3 linked regions of the Macaca fascicularis genome follow. The protein of the gene in region 2 interacts with the protein of the main gene of each other region in a pairwise test. Links are inferred from orthologs where the notes say so. Each region holds a gene or a part of one and is shown on either strand. Other genes may lie near its edges.

What was found.
Region 1: the proteins of IPO13 (region 2) and PITX1 interact in binary tests that used the Homo sapiens proteins (3 or more experiments, as listed by UniProt). The link is inferred for Macaca fascicularis from reciprocal best matches to the Homo sapiens genes IPO13 and PITX1.
Region 3: the proteins of IPO13 (region 2) and PBX4 interact in binary tests that used the Homo sapiens proteins (3 or more experiments, as listed by UniProt). The link is inferred for Macaca fascicularis from reciprocal best matches to the Homo sapiens genes IPO13 and PBX4.

Annotation. Positions count from the first base shown.
Region 1 is NC_088380.1:141,568,740-141,572,383, reverse strand, and holds part of PITX1 (pituitary homeobox 1), read left to right. Parts: intron 1-1,824; coding exon 1,825-2,057; exon of another isoform or gene 2,058-2,503; intron 2,504-3,644. UniProt on the Homo sapiens protein: Sequence-specific transcription factor that binds gene promoters and activates their transcription. May play a role in the development of anterior structures, and in particular, the brain and facies and in specifying the identity or structure of hindlimb.
Region 2 is NC_088375.1:190,801,795-190,805,438, reverse strand, and holds part of IPO13 (importin-13), read left to right. Parts: coding exon 1-26; intron 27-133; coding exon 134-275; intron 276-383; coding exon 384-550; intron 551-770; coding exon 771-891; intron 892-977; coding exon 978-1,125; intron 1,126-1,551; coding exon 1,552-1,733; intron 1,734-1,817; coding exon 1,818-1,844; intron 1,845-2,038; coding exon 2,039-2,173; intron 2,174-2,322; coding exon 2,323-2,466; intron 2,467-3,644. UniProt on the Homo sapiens protein: Functions in nuclear protein import as nuclear transport receptor. Serves as receptor for nuclear localization signals (NLS) in cargo substrates.
Region 3 is NC_088393.1:20,055,113-20,059,427, reverse strand, and holds the start of PBX4 (pre-B-cell leukemia transcription factor 4), read left to right. Parts: upstream 1-1,401; 5' UTR 1,402-1,519; coding exon 1,520-1,647; intron 1,648-4,315.

The sequences.
Region 1 (3,644 bases), on a different chromosome or scaffold from region 2:
AGAGACAGAGAGAGAGGCTAACACCGTGACAGTAGGCGACAGAATGAAAGAGAGAGGCCAAAGAGAAGGGGCGGGCGGGAAGGGTAAACGGGGAGAGGGGGTCAAGTAGAAGGAAGACACAGAAGACGGTGAGGGCGAGCGGGCCAAGAGGCGCGGCCGGACTCCCAGCAAGGCCAGCCCGAACCCCGATCGAGGGATCCGGCCCACGTGTGCAGCCGAAGCCCGGAGCTGCCCGGCCCTGGCCCCCGCCCCGGCTCCGGCGCGTCTCCCTCCGCGCTGCCTTTTTGTACGAGCTGGAGCTTTTTTCCAGCAGCGAACTGGGCCCGGGGGTGGCCGGCGCGGGCAGTAGGGTAGCGAATCCGCTGCCCAGCGCAGCCGCCTGGGTCCCCGAGGGGCTCAGAGCTCCCCGGCATGGGCGCCTCTTCTGCTCGTTTCTTCTGTTCATTTCTTAATACACAGCTGAGTGTTTCTTTACACTTTCTTAATCTGTTTGTTTCTCTTTTGCATCCCTAAGTGATTTTTCTGAGAGGTTCTGTTTGCTTGGTTAAAACACAATCAACGCTGAACTATACTTTTGTTTTCAAAAGTTTTAAGTGCGGTCTTTGGTTGGTTTTATTTTTAAAACCTAGAGAGATATATAATCATAGATTGATTTTTTGAACCAAATCTATGAGGATGAATTAACAATTTTAACTTTATCTTTCGATTTTGAAATAATTAATATACTAAGTGTAGGTCTCTGGAATTTAAAATATCTACATGCAACATTATTCTTCCGGAGATTTTAAAAAGTCAATCCAAAATGGCGCGTTTCTCCGGAATTTTCTCAAAATCCATTTACAGTGGTGTTATTTGGGGAATTTAAATTATCTAACTATAATGTGTTTCTCTGGGATTTAAAAATTATCTCTGTAAGGGCCTTATTGGGAGGGAGTTAAAAATCTATTTACAACGGTACATTATTTTTTTAAATCCCAAAGAAATAAATGCTTCTGTCAGCCTGGAGTTTATACACTTACAGGTCTGTATTTAGTTAGGGGTGTGTTTGTACCGAGTTTTCTGGCTTCTTAATTTACATTTGCTCTGTGTTTCTTCCTGTCTGATTTTGAGAATTTGTGGCCCTTTCTGTGTCTTTAGGCATAGAGCTGTGAGCTTTTCTGGGCTTCTGTGTTTTGTTTTTAAATTCTTTTTCTTTATGTATCAATGTTTCTATGGCTGCGTGTGTTTTGTGTAGCTTCAAAGAGAGACAGACTGAAGCCCGAGGTCACCTAGACAGAGTCTGTCTGTCTGGGCTGCAGTTGGTGGGGTTTTCTAGGCTTTGGGACTGGAGGCCTGGAAGCAAGGCCGAGAACCGGCTGTGTTGTGCCTGCCCAGTGGGGCTCCCACACATCCCTGAGGAGAAAAAAGTGGAGGAGTTTAGGCTGGAAAGATCTGCTCCTAGTTCAGAAAAGCAGAGACCCCCCTCAGATTTAGACCCCCTAAGAGGTCGCAAAACAAACAAAACAAAGCATACATTTGCTCCGAACATCAGCAGCAGGGCAGTCTGAGCCGAGCTAAGGGTGCAGGCCCTGCCCAGCCAGGAACCCAGGCCCGCGGCTAGGGCTCCGATTCTTGGGCTCTTCTCCGCGGTACACCAGACTAGAGGTGCCTACTGACGACCAGCACCCGGCGGGCGCTTTCCAGTGGGGACAGTTCCCAGGGACCCTGGAGGGAGGGAAGGAGGGAAGCCCGCGCTGGTGGCTTGGCGGGCGCTTCGGTGGAGCCGGGACGGGGTGCAACGGGGCGTAAGCCCAGGTGACCTGCTCCACGTCCTGCCTACTGCAGAGAAGGAGCGCGGCGGGGAATCCAAGGGGCCTGAGGACAGTGGCACGGGAGGCACGGGCTGCGGCAGCGCAGACGACCCAGCCAAGAAGAAGAAGCAGCGGCGGCAACGTACGCACTTCACAAGCCAGCAGTTGCAAGAGCTAGAGGCCACGTTCCAGAGGAACCGCTACCCCGACATGAGCATGAGGGAGGAGATCGCCGTGTGGACCAACCTCACCGAGCCGCGCGTGCGGGTGAGCAAGGGGTGCGCCTAAGAGCACCCGCGCAGAGGGCTCCCGGGCCGCCTCTGCTGCAGCCCTCCAAAGCTTAGACCCACAAGCAGACCTTAACTCTCCCACCATTCAGACCTGGTCCCTCCCACCACCGGCGATCCCCACCTTAGGCCCTGGCCCACCTAGCGTCTGCCAGGCCTCCAGGCCGCCATGGACCTCCAACCCCTCTGACCGTCATCCTACCTGATCCTCGGACTAAGGCAGCCCCAGCCCAAAGACCTGTGCCCTCAGGGGACTCCCCCATGCCCTGTGGGGCCCAGGACCCACTTGGATGTTAACAGGATACCCTGGGCCAGAGACTGGGCAGTGGATTCCCTGCCGCTGGGGACTTCGGGAGCTGCTGGCTTTACCCCGAAAACGAAAGGGAAAGGCAGGTCCTGCCTGGCTGCATCGGAGAAGCCAGAAAGGTGCCTGGGTTTGGGGCTCTCAAAACTTCCTGGAGCAGTGGTCCCATCTCACAAGCAGATTCTCTAAAAGCTCAAGATATTCTCCACCCTCCCCAGCCGTCAGTAGGACCCTTTGCCTTCTGCCTTTTCCAGAAGGTCTCCTGTCTGGTGAGGTGGGGGGTGGCTCTGGGACCCAAATGTCCTTCCCAATCCCTTTTGGGATATGCCATCTCAGACCCAAGACCAGCCTGCATTCTCCCTCTTTTCACCCGTTCGGTTTCAAGTAAAAGCAAGGCTTTCCTGCCAGGGTAGCAACAGAATCATTTCTTCCCTGGGGGCGCAAATATTTAATCAGATATTGGGAGCACCTCCCAAGTCGACCGAAGTCCGACCTGGCCCACAGACTCCTTACCATAACCCGCAGCCCTCCCTAGGCAGGCTGGCCAGCCCAGTGGGACTTGGAGTGAAGACACAGCACTCAGTAATCCTGAACTCACTAATCCTGCCCAGGTTTATGGTGGTAGGGGTGAGTGGGGGTGGAATCAGGCAGTGTCAGTGCTGGGGACTAGGGAAAGCTGAGAAGCAGGGGTCTGGCAAACTAGCTCAGGAAACTTCACTCAGAACTGGAGGAAAATCTGAGAGGGCAGAGAGCATGCGGTAGGCAGATAGGTAAGGATGGGGAAGGACTAGGAGGTTGTCACCAAATTTGGGGGGAGAAAAGGAAGGGCAGGAAGATTAGAAGAAACTAGTAAGAATAGAAAAAATTAAATATTTGTGGAGAAACATATTTGGCATATATTTAGGCGGCAGGAAAGAAATTAGGAAGCAAAAAGATCAGGTACTTGAGAAAAAGAATCAGCTGTTTAAGGGGAACAGTAGAGGTCAGATATTTGGAAAGGATGAAAAAGCCTAATATTTGGGGACGATTCAAAAGGATCAAAAATGGGGGATAAACAAGAAAACAGACTGAGGGAGAAGAAAGAGATTCAGACAGCGGGATGGACTAAACGAAAATAAACATTTGGAGCCGAAAAGAAAACATCAAATATTGCCGATAAAGATGATAGCAAACTATTTGAGCGATGAAACAGATCGAAGAATTGGGGGAGTCGGAAAGTCCTATGTCTCAGGGAGGAAAAATACCTTTTGTATTTGAGGGAGA
Region 2 (3,644 bases):
GTGGCCCTGGGCGAGAACCACTCCCGGTAAGGGGTGGAGCAGCTGGGGGTGGGATAGTAGGGCCCTCTAAGAGGTGGGGTTATGGAAGTCCCTGGAGAGGTAGAATGACCTGACTGTGTCTCCTCCTCCCCAGGGCCTTGCTGGACCAAGTAGAGCACTGGCAGAGTTTCCTGGCACTTGTCAACATGATTATGTTCTGCACAGGCATCCCTGGCCACTATCCTGTCAATGAGACCACCAGCTCCCTAACCCTCACCTTCTGGTACACGCTGCAGGTGTGTCTGTGTGACCTCCAGTAGGACTGGGCTGTGGTGGAAGAAGGTGGATCATGGGCTTCTATGGCTGCTGGTGAGGTGGCTAATTGTCTTCCCTGGCTCTCTCAGGATGATATTCTATCCTTTGAGGCAGAGAAGCAGGCTGTATACCAGCAGGTGTACCGGCCAGTCTACTTCCAGCTGGTGGATGTGCTTCTGCACAAGGCCCAGTTCCCTTCTGATGAGGAATATGGATTCTGGTCCTCAGACGAGAAGGAGCAGTTCCGAATTTACAGGTGATGGTAGCAGGCCAGCTCCTCTAAAATGGAGTCCAGAAATAATGAAGGCAATGAGGGAAGGGGCCCAAGGCCAGGCTTTCTGAATTTTGGGGCTCCTTTCTCTGTTTTCTAGGCATTGTTGCAGAGTTGTGGGGGTACTGGGGTAGGCTCCTGGGCTTGGGGGCAGGATCCAGGGTCAGGATCCAGGCAGTATAAAAGGCCTTCATCTGCTTCTCAGGGTGGACATCTCAGACACGCTCATGTATGTCTATGAGATGTTGGGGGCCGAGCTGCTCAGCAACCTCTATGACAAGCTGGGTCGTTTGCTCACCAGCTCAGAGGAGCCCTACTCCTGGCAGGTACCTCCCAAGCCTGATTCCCTCAGCCCTCCCAGACCTGTCACACCCTCCTCCTCATCCAAGCCAGTGGCACCCTCTTTCCCCAGCACACAGAGGCCCTCCTCTACGGCTTCCAATCCATCGCAGAGACCATTGACGTCAACTATTCTGATGTGGTGCCTGGGCTCATTGGCCTCATCCCACGGATCAGCATCAGCAACGTGCAGCTGGCAGACACTGTCATGTTCACCATTGGTGAGACCTGGCACACACCCATGACCATATTCCCAGAGCCACAGCACCCCACCCCGGCCACAGCCAGCATGCTGGATTCTATCCAGAATGGGAGAGCCATGTGCCTACACACAATCAGTGTTGTAACAAACTGACTGTCCTGGCAGGTCTAGGGGGTCCATCTGATGGCACACTGAGCTGAATTCAGTGAGGCTAGTTTACTGTCAGTGAAACAGCAGTACTGGGCTTCTGTTGAGTAACCTCTCCCTGCTTCTCAGCTGTAAGGCTCATGTTTGAGCATGCACATGCATATGTCCTCTGAATGGAGCAGTGCTCTGTGCTAGGGCTGCAACTTGACCCTGCCAGGAACTCTGCTTGCCTCAGAGACATGGTACAAAGCCAGTCTGGCCTGCCTCAAAGATCCTTCTGTCTCCCTCCTTCCTCCAGGAGCTCTGTCTGAATGGCTGGCTGACCACCCCGTCATGATCAACAGTGTTCTGCCCCTGGTACTGCATGCCCTAGGCAATCCTGAGCTCTCTGTCTCTTCTGTGTCTACCCTCAAGAAGATCTGCCGAGAGTGCAAGTATGACCTGCCTCCCTATGCTGCCAACATTGTGGCCGTGTCCCAGGTATGCAGGGGCCCTGGATGGTACTGAGCTTCAGAGCACACTCTGCACTGTGCTGATACTACATTCCTTCTTTCTCCCCCGCAGGATGTGCTGATGAAACAGATCCACAAGGTGCGGCTCAGAAGTTTCTAGGGGTCTCCTTGGGGGTCTTGTGGGAATCTCTTATCCCTGAAATCCTGTTTTTTGGCCTTCCCCTTCCTCTTACCCCTTATTCTCTGTGTTTTTCTTCTCCCAAGAGGCCCGTTTTCCTTCTTACCCCACAACTAGATGTGGCCAGGACTGACCATCCATGTTCTGCCCCACAGACAAGCCAGTGCATGTGGCTGATGCAGGCGCTGGGCTTCCTGCTGTCAGCTCTTCAAGTGGAGGAGATTCTTAAGAACCTGCACTCGCTTATCTCACCCTATATCCAGCAACTGGAGAAGCTGGCAGAGGAGATAGTGAGTGAGCTCTGGGGGCCGGGAGCAGTACTGGTACGCTGTGGCTGATGAGGGGTGAAGGTGGAGCTGGCCCTTAGAGCTGGGGCTCAGTGATCTGGGGACCAAACTGGGGCTAGGAGATCTGGAGCTTGGTTTGCTTCTCCCTGCAGCCCAATCCCTCCAACAAGCTGGCCATTGTTCACATCTTGGGGCTTCTCTCCAACCTCTTCACCACATTGGACATCAGTCATCATGAGGATGATCACGAAGGCCCTGAGCTTCGGAAGCTGCCAGTGCCACAGGGACCCAACCCCGTGGGTGACATTGTCTTTGCCATCCCCCCACCCCCACCTGTGGGAATGTCATTGTCACTCTTCAATTCTGTGGGTAATGTTGTCATTGTTCTCCCTGCCCCGTGGGGGTGATATATTTGGTCCTCTGACTCCATGAATGACCTATAATTGCCTCACTCTGTAGGTAGCAATGTCATTATCTCACTCAACTCTGTGTGTGATGTTGTCCTTGTCCCCAGCCCAATTAGGGTGATGTCATTGAGATTCCTCAGCCTCATGAGGGACATTGACGTTATATCCTTCAACCCTTAAGTGATGTTATTATGGGCCCCTGTTCAACCTCCAGCTCTGTAGGGCCTTCTACTTCAACATTTACTGTCCCCTGTGAGCACTAAGGATGCTCATGACATCCTCCACATGTAGTAGTTCTGGCCTTCAAGTTGCTCCCAGTGCAGAGGAAATTCAAGTTGCTCAGATTGTCACAAAGCAGTGTGATAAGTCTTGTGATAAGCTTGGGCACAGGTTTTGGGGTGACCACTTAGAAGCTGCTTGATCTGGGGCAAGCCTCAGCTTCCCATTAAAAACTGAGAACATTGAAATGTCTGGCTTACTCAACTCATAGAACTGTGCTGGATAGCAGATGTGGTCTTAAGTGAAGGTAGTTTGCATATTGTAAAGTTCTTTACAAAGACTGCTTTGGTTGCTATTCCCAGAACTCCCTCCAGGATTTCTCCAGGAGAAAAGGAAGCCATGGGCATCGTGGCCTCTTTGCTTAACTCCCCAACCCAGTTTCAGTTAGCCTCTTGGCTTTAGACCACACCTGGGCCACTGTCATCCCACAGAGCTGCTTCTTTACATGGTAGTCATCATCCTGCCTTTCCTCACCTCCCAGGACCTCAGTCTGCTCTCTACTCCTCCGTAAGCTGGCAGAGCAGCTTAAGCCTGCATCTGTGCATTCCTTGGGGCTCCCTACCTCAAGCCTATTTGGAGGAGATAACATCTGCTCTTCTTCAGAGGCTAGTCCATAGCCTTGGTTTTACAGAGCAGTGATAGGGGGTGATTTTTTTTTTTAAGTCTACAAAGTTTTTGTAACCTTATGAAGCACTTGTGATATCTCTGCTTTGCAGTTTGAGGCTTCCTTTGAGATGATCCCTAGAATTCAGGATATCCTCCTTTTTCATTCATGAGAGAGTTCAGCA
Region 3 (4,315 bases), on a different chromosome or scaffold from region 2:
TGTCCAGACACTCAGTCCATGTCTTTCATTTTCACTCCCTACCGTCCCCTTTGGAGTCTCCGGACGCTCTCCAATCCAGCCATTCCAGATGGTGTTTGAATTTCCTCCCCAGCAGCAATGGAGAGAACATGGGCCCAGCCCTGGAAGGGTTCCCAGCCAGCAGGCTAAGGACCTTTTACTGAGCCCACATCTGGAGCCTGTCCTCATAGCAAATAGGCTCCAGGAGGTTCTGTGACTTTGGAGAAGCGATTCATGTCCAGTCCATTCCTTTTTTTTTTTTTTTTGATACCTGGTCTCTGTCAACCAGGCTGGAGTGCAGTGGTACAATCATGGCTCACTGCAGCCTCAAATTCGCGGGCCCAAGTGATCCTTTCACTGCAGCCTCTCAAGTCCCAAGTAGCTGGGACCACAGGCGTGCACCACCACAGGGTCTCACTATGTTGCCCAAACTGATCTCAAACTCCCATGCTCAAGTGATCCTCCCGCCTCCGCCATCCAAAGTGCTAGATTACAGGCGTGAGCCACCGCCCAGTTCCTTTTCTTGTGCAGTAGGAACCTCTGATGCTGTGTCCTAAGGGCTAGAAACAAAGATGTGAGGATTCGCTCTGATTTGGGGCGCACTGCAGGGGAGGCTCTCAGTAAACCTCCTTCCTTCATTCGGTAACCACGTGGTAGCATTTTCTATGCCCAGAACTGTAGACTGCGTAAACAAGCGAGGTCACTCTTTAGCTGGACCTTGAAAGGTGACTGGAATTGATTTCTTCAGTGGAGAAAAGCGCTGCGTTCTGACCTTCTTGTTGCCATCAACCACGCACACCTGTGCTCCCCCTTGGCCGGGTGAAGGGGGCATGGAAAGCTCTAGAGGAAGAGCCAGGGGCCCCAGTGGCCCACCTGATGGGGCTGAGGCTGCAGGGAGCATTAGAGGGACTGAGCAGGGGTCTGGGGCTTGGGGCTTCTGGAAATGAATGGGGGCTGTCGATCAAGCTATAAGAGGTGTGGGGTTCTGAGGAGGAGAGGGTGGCTTGAAGGAAGAGTTGGGGTGCTCCGGGGAGTGAGGGTCTCTGAGGACCGAGGGCTTTGAGGAGGAGCAGGGGGCTCTGAGGAGGAGCAGGAACTCTGAGGAGATGAGTGGGGCTGAAGGAGGCGTGCACCGCGGGAGTTGTGAGGGATGGGGGCCTCTGGCTGGAGCGGAGCCAGCGCTGCCCTGTCTCAGGCTGGAGGAGGGCGCTTGTGAGAAGTGCCGTTGCCTCGGCAACCGCTAACCGAGTCCAAGCCCGGGGTGAGGGAAGTTCGGGGCGTCTCCCGGGGCGGTGCGTGGCGCCGGTTGGCTGACGGCGATGAAGGGGCGTGTCTGTAGGCAGTGCAATACACGGGTTGGCTGGCGGCAGCGGTGGTGGGCGTGGCTTAGGCGCGAGCGCTGGCTGGCGTGGAGCTCAGGCAGCGGCGGTTGGCTGCGGCTCGAGTGCTAGTGCTCCAGGCTCGACGGCTCCTTCACCGCGCCCGCCTGGCCCTGCCGCTCATGGCCGCCACGCAGCGCCCCGCGCCATCGCCCCCCGCCCCGCGCCGCCCGCGGCGGCCCGACACGAGCGACGTCCTGCAGCAGATCATGGCCGTCACCGACCAAAGCCTGGACGAGGCGCAGGCCAGGTGCTGCCCGCGGGCTCGGCGGGGCCACGCAGGGTCGTGGCAGTGAGGGTGGCGGACAGAGGGGACAGGGCGGGGAGGGCAGACTGACGAGAGACGCTTGAGGAGGGCTGGAGGGGGGTCCCGAGGGCGAGGGGATATATGGGGTTCAAAGGGAACGGGCTGGACGGGCCTTATGGGGCTGAGCAGTGGCGTGAAGGATTTTCAACCGTTCATCTTGGGGTGAGAATGTTGAGTTTAGGGAGTAGGGCTGAGAAATGGGCACGTAGGGTACTTTTGACGATTGAATGACTAAATGGGTACGTTAATGGGACTTCTGCAGGTGAGAAGTTTTTTGTTGTTGTTTGACACCGTCTCGCTCTGTCGCCCAGGCTAGAGTGCAGTGGCGTGATCATGGCTCACTGCAGCCTCCACCTCCCCGGCTCAGTTGATCCTCCTGCCTCAGCCTCCTGAGTAGCTGGGACCACAGGTGCACGTGCCACCACGCCCGACTAATTTTTTTGTATATTTTGTAGAGACAGGGGGTCTCACTATAGTTGCTTGAACTCCTGGGCTCAAGCAGTTATTCCGCCTCGGCCTCCCAAAGTGCTGGGATTACAGGCCCCAGCCACCGAGCCCGGCTTGTGGGTGGGAAGTTTCCAGGACAGATGATGGAGAGTGAGTGGTGGGGAATGGGACTCAGGAATGTCTCTGCAGGAGATTGAAGAATTGAATTGGGGTAACTTGGTGTGGGAACAATCCAGAACTTTTGGGAAAAGGGTTAGTGGAGTGGGTGGAGATGGAAGACCTATTTTCTTTTTAATGAATTCAGCAAATTTTTATTGAATCCCTACAGTAACTGCATAGGGAACCGGGTGTTGACAGTCCCTGCTCTCGAGTTCATGATTTAGGGGAGGGAAAGTAAATAGCAAAAAATACGGACTGGGTGGATTGGCTCACATCTGTAATCACAGCACTTTAGGAGGCTGAGGCAGGAGGATTGCTTGAGCTCAGGAGTTCGAGACCAACCTGAACCATGTAGTAAGACCTCGTCTCTACCAAAAATAAAACTAAAAAATTAGTTAGGTGTGACACAAGCCTGTAGTCCCAGCTACTTAGGAGGCTGAGGCAGCAGTGAGCCGAATCAAGCCATTGCACTCCAGCCTGGGTGACAGAGCTAGACAATATCTCAAACAAAAGCAAAAAAGTATAAGCCAGGCATGGGTAGGTAATCCCAGCTGCCTACCAGTGGGAGGATCACTTGAGTCCAGGAGTTTGAGACCAGCCTGGGCAACATAGTGAGACCTCCCTGCACCAATCTGAGAAAAGAAAAAAATAAAATAAATGGCAATAAAAGCTGTAGGGATAGGGGTTGCATGCTATAGGAAGCCAGGTGGAGAAGAACATCTGTGGAGAGGACAGCAGCTTCAGAGGCCCTGAGGTGGGAAAGAGGATATAAAAAGCGGAGCCTGGCTTGGAAGAGAAAGTTCCTAGCCAGGGAGGGGAAGAGTTGAGTTTAAAGGGAGGCCAGGTACGGTAGCTCACGCCTGTAATCCCAACACTTTGAGAGGCCGAGGCGGGTGGATCACGAGGTCAGGGGTTCAAGACCAACCTGGCCAACATGGTGAAACCCAGTCTCTACTAAAAATACAAAAATTAGCCAGGTATAGTGGTGCACGCCTATAATCCCAACTACCTGGGAGGCTGAGGCAGGAGAATCACTGGAACCTGGGAGGCGGAGGCTGCAGTGAGCCGAGATCACACCACTGCACTCCAGCCTGGGTGACAGAACAAGATTCTATCTGAACAACAACAAAAAAATAGTGATAATAAAGGGAGGCTAGAACCCAATTACATGGGGCCTACGAGTCTCAGTAAAGAGTTTTGTTTTTTCAGCCAGGCACAGTGACTGATGCCTGTAATCCTTGCACTTTGGGAGGCCAAGGTAGGCAGATCACCTGAGGTCAAGAGTTCGAGACCAGCCTGGCCAACATGGCAAAACCCCATCTCTACTAAAAATATGATAATTTGCCGGACGTGATGGTGCATGTCTATGGTCCCAGCTACTTGGGAAGCTGAGGCAGGAGAATCATTTGAACCCAGGAGGCGCCTGGGTTCAAGTGCCCCTGCACTCCAACCTGGACGACAGAGTAAGACTCTGTCTCAATAAAAAAAGAGTTTTGTTTTTGTCATCTGGGTAACAATCAGTAGAGAGTTTGGACTATTTATTCCAGTTGCAATGGGGAAAAATAATGGCGTTTTAATACCTCCCATCCCGTTTACCTCCACTCACCACTTGTCAGCCAGCCAGAATCTGTAGAATCTGCTTCACAGGGCAGCCCACCGTGTCTGGGTCCTGCAGTGATTATTAGAGAAAAAGAAAGGAAAGGACTGAAGTCCTTTTGGAGGATGAGGCCTTGTTGAATGGGGACTGTTGTAAGGTGAAGGACGGTCTCTGAGTATGGGACTAGGGTCTGGTGGTGTGGACTGTGTACCCACTAGAGCCCTGTAGTGGGGAGGGGTTACACAGCCAGGTAAAGAGCAGTACTAGGAAGGAAGAGGTAGAGTAAAAGGTGGATAATGCTTGCATTTGTTCTTCAATGAATTTTGTGTGTGTGTGTGACAGACTCTCACATTGTTGCCCAGGCTGGAGTGCAGTGGCGCGATCTTGGCTCACTGCAACCTCTGCCTC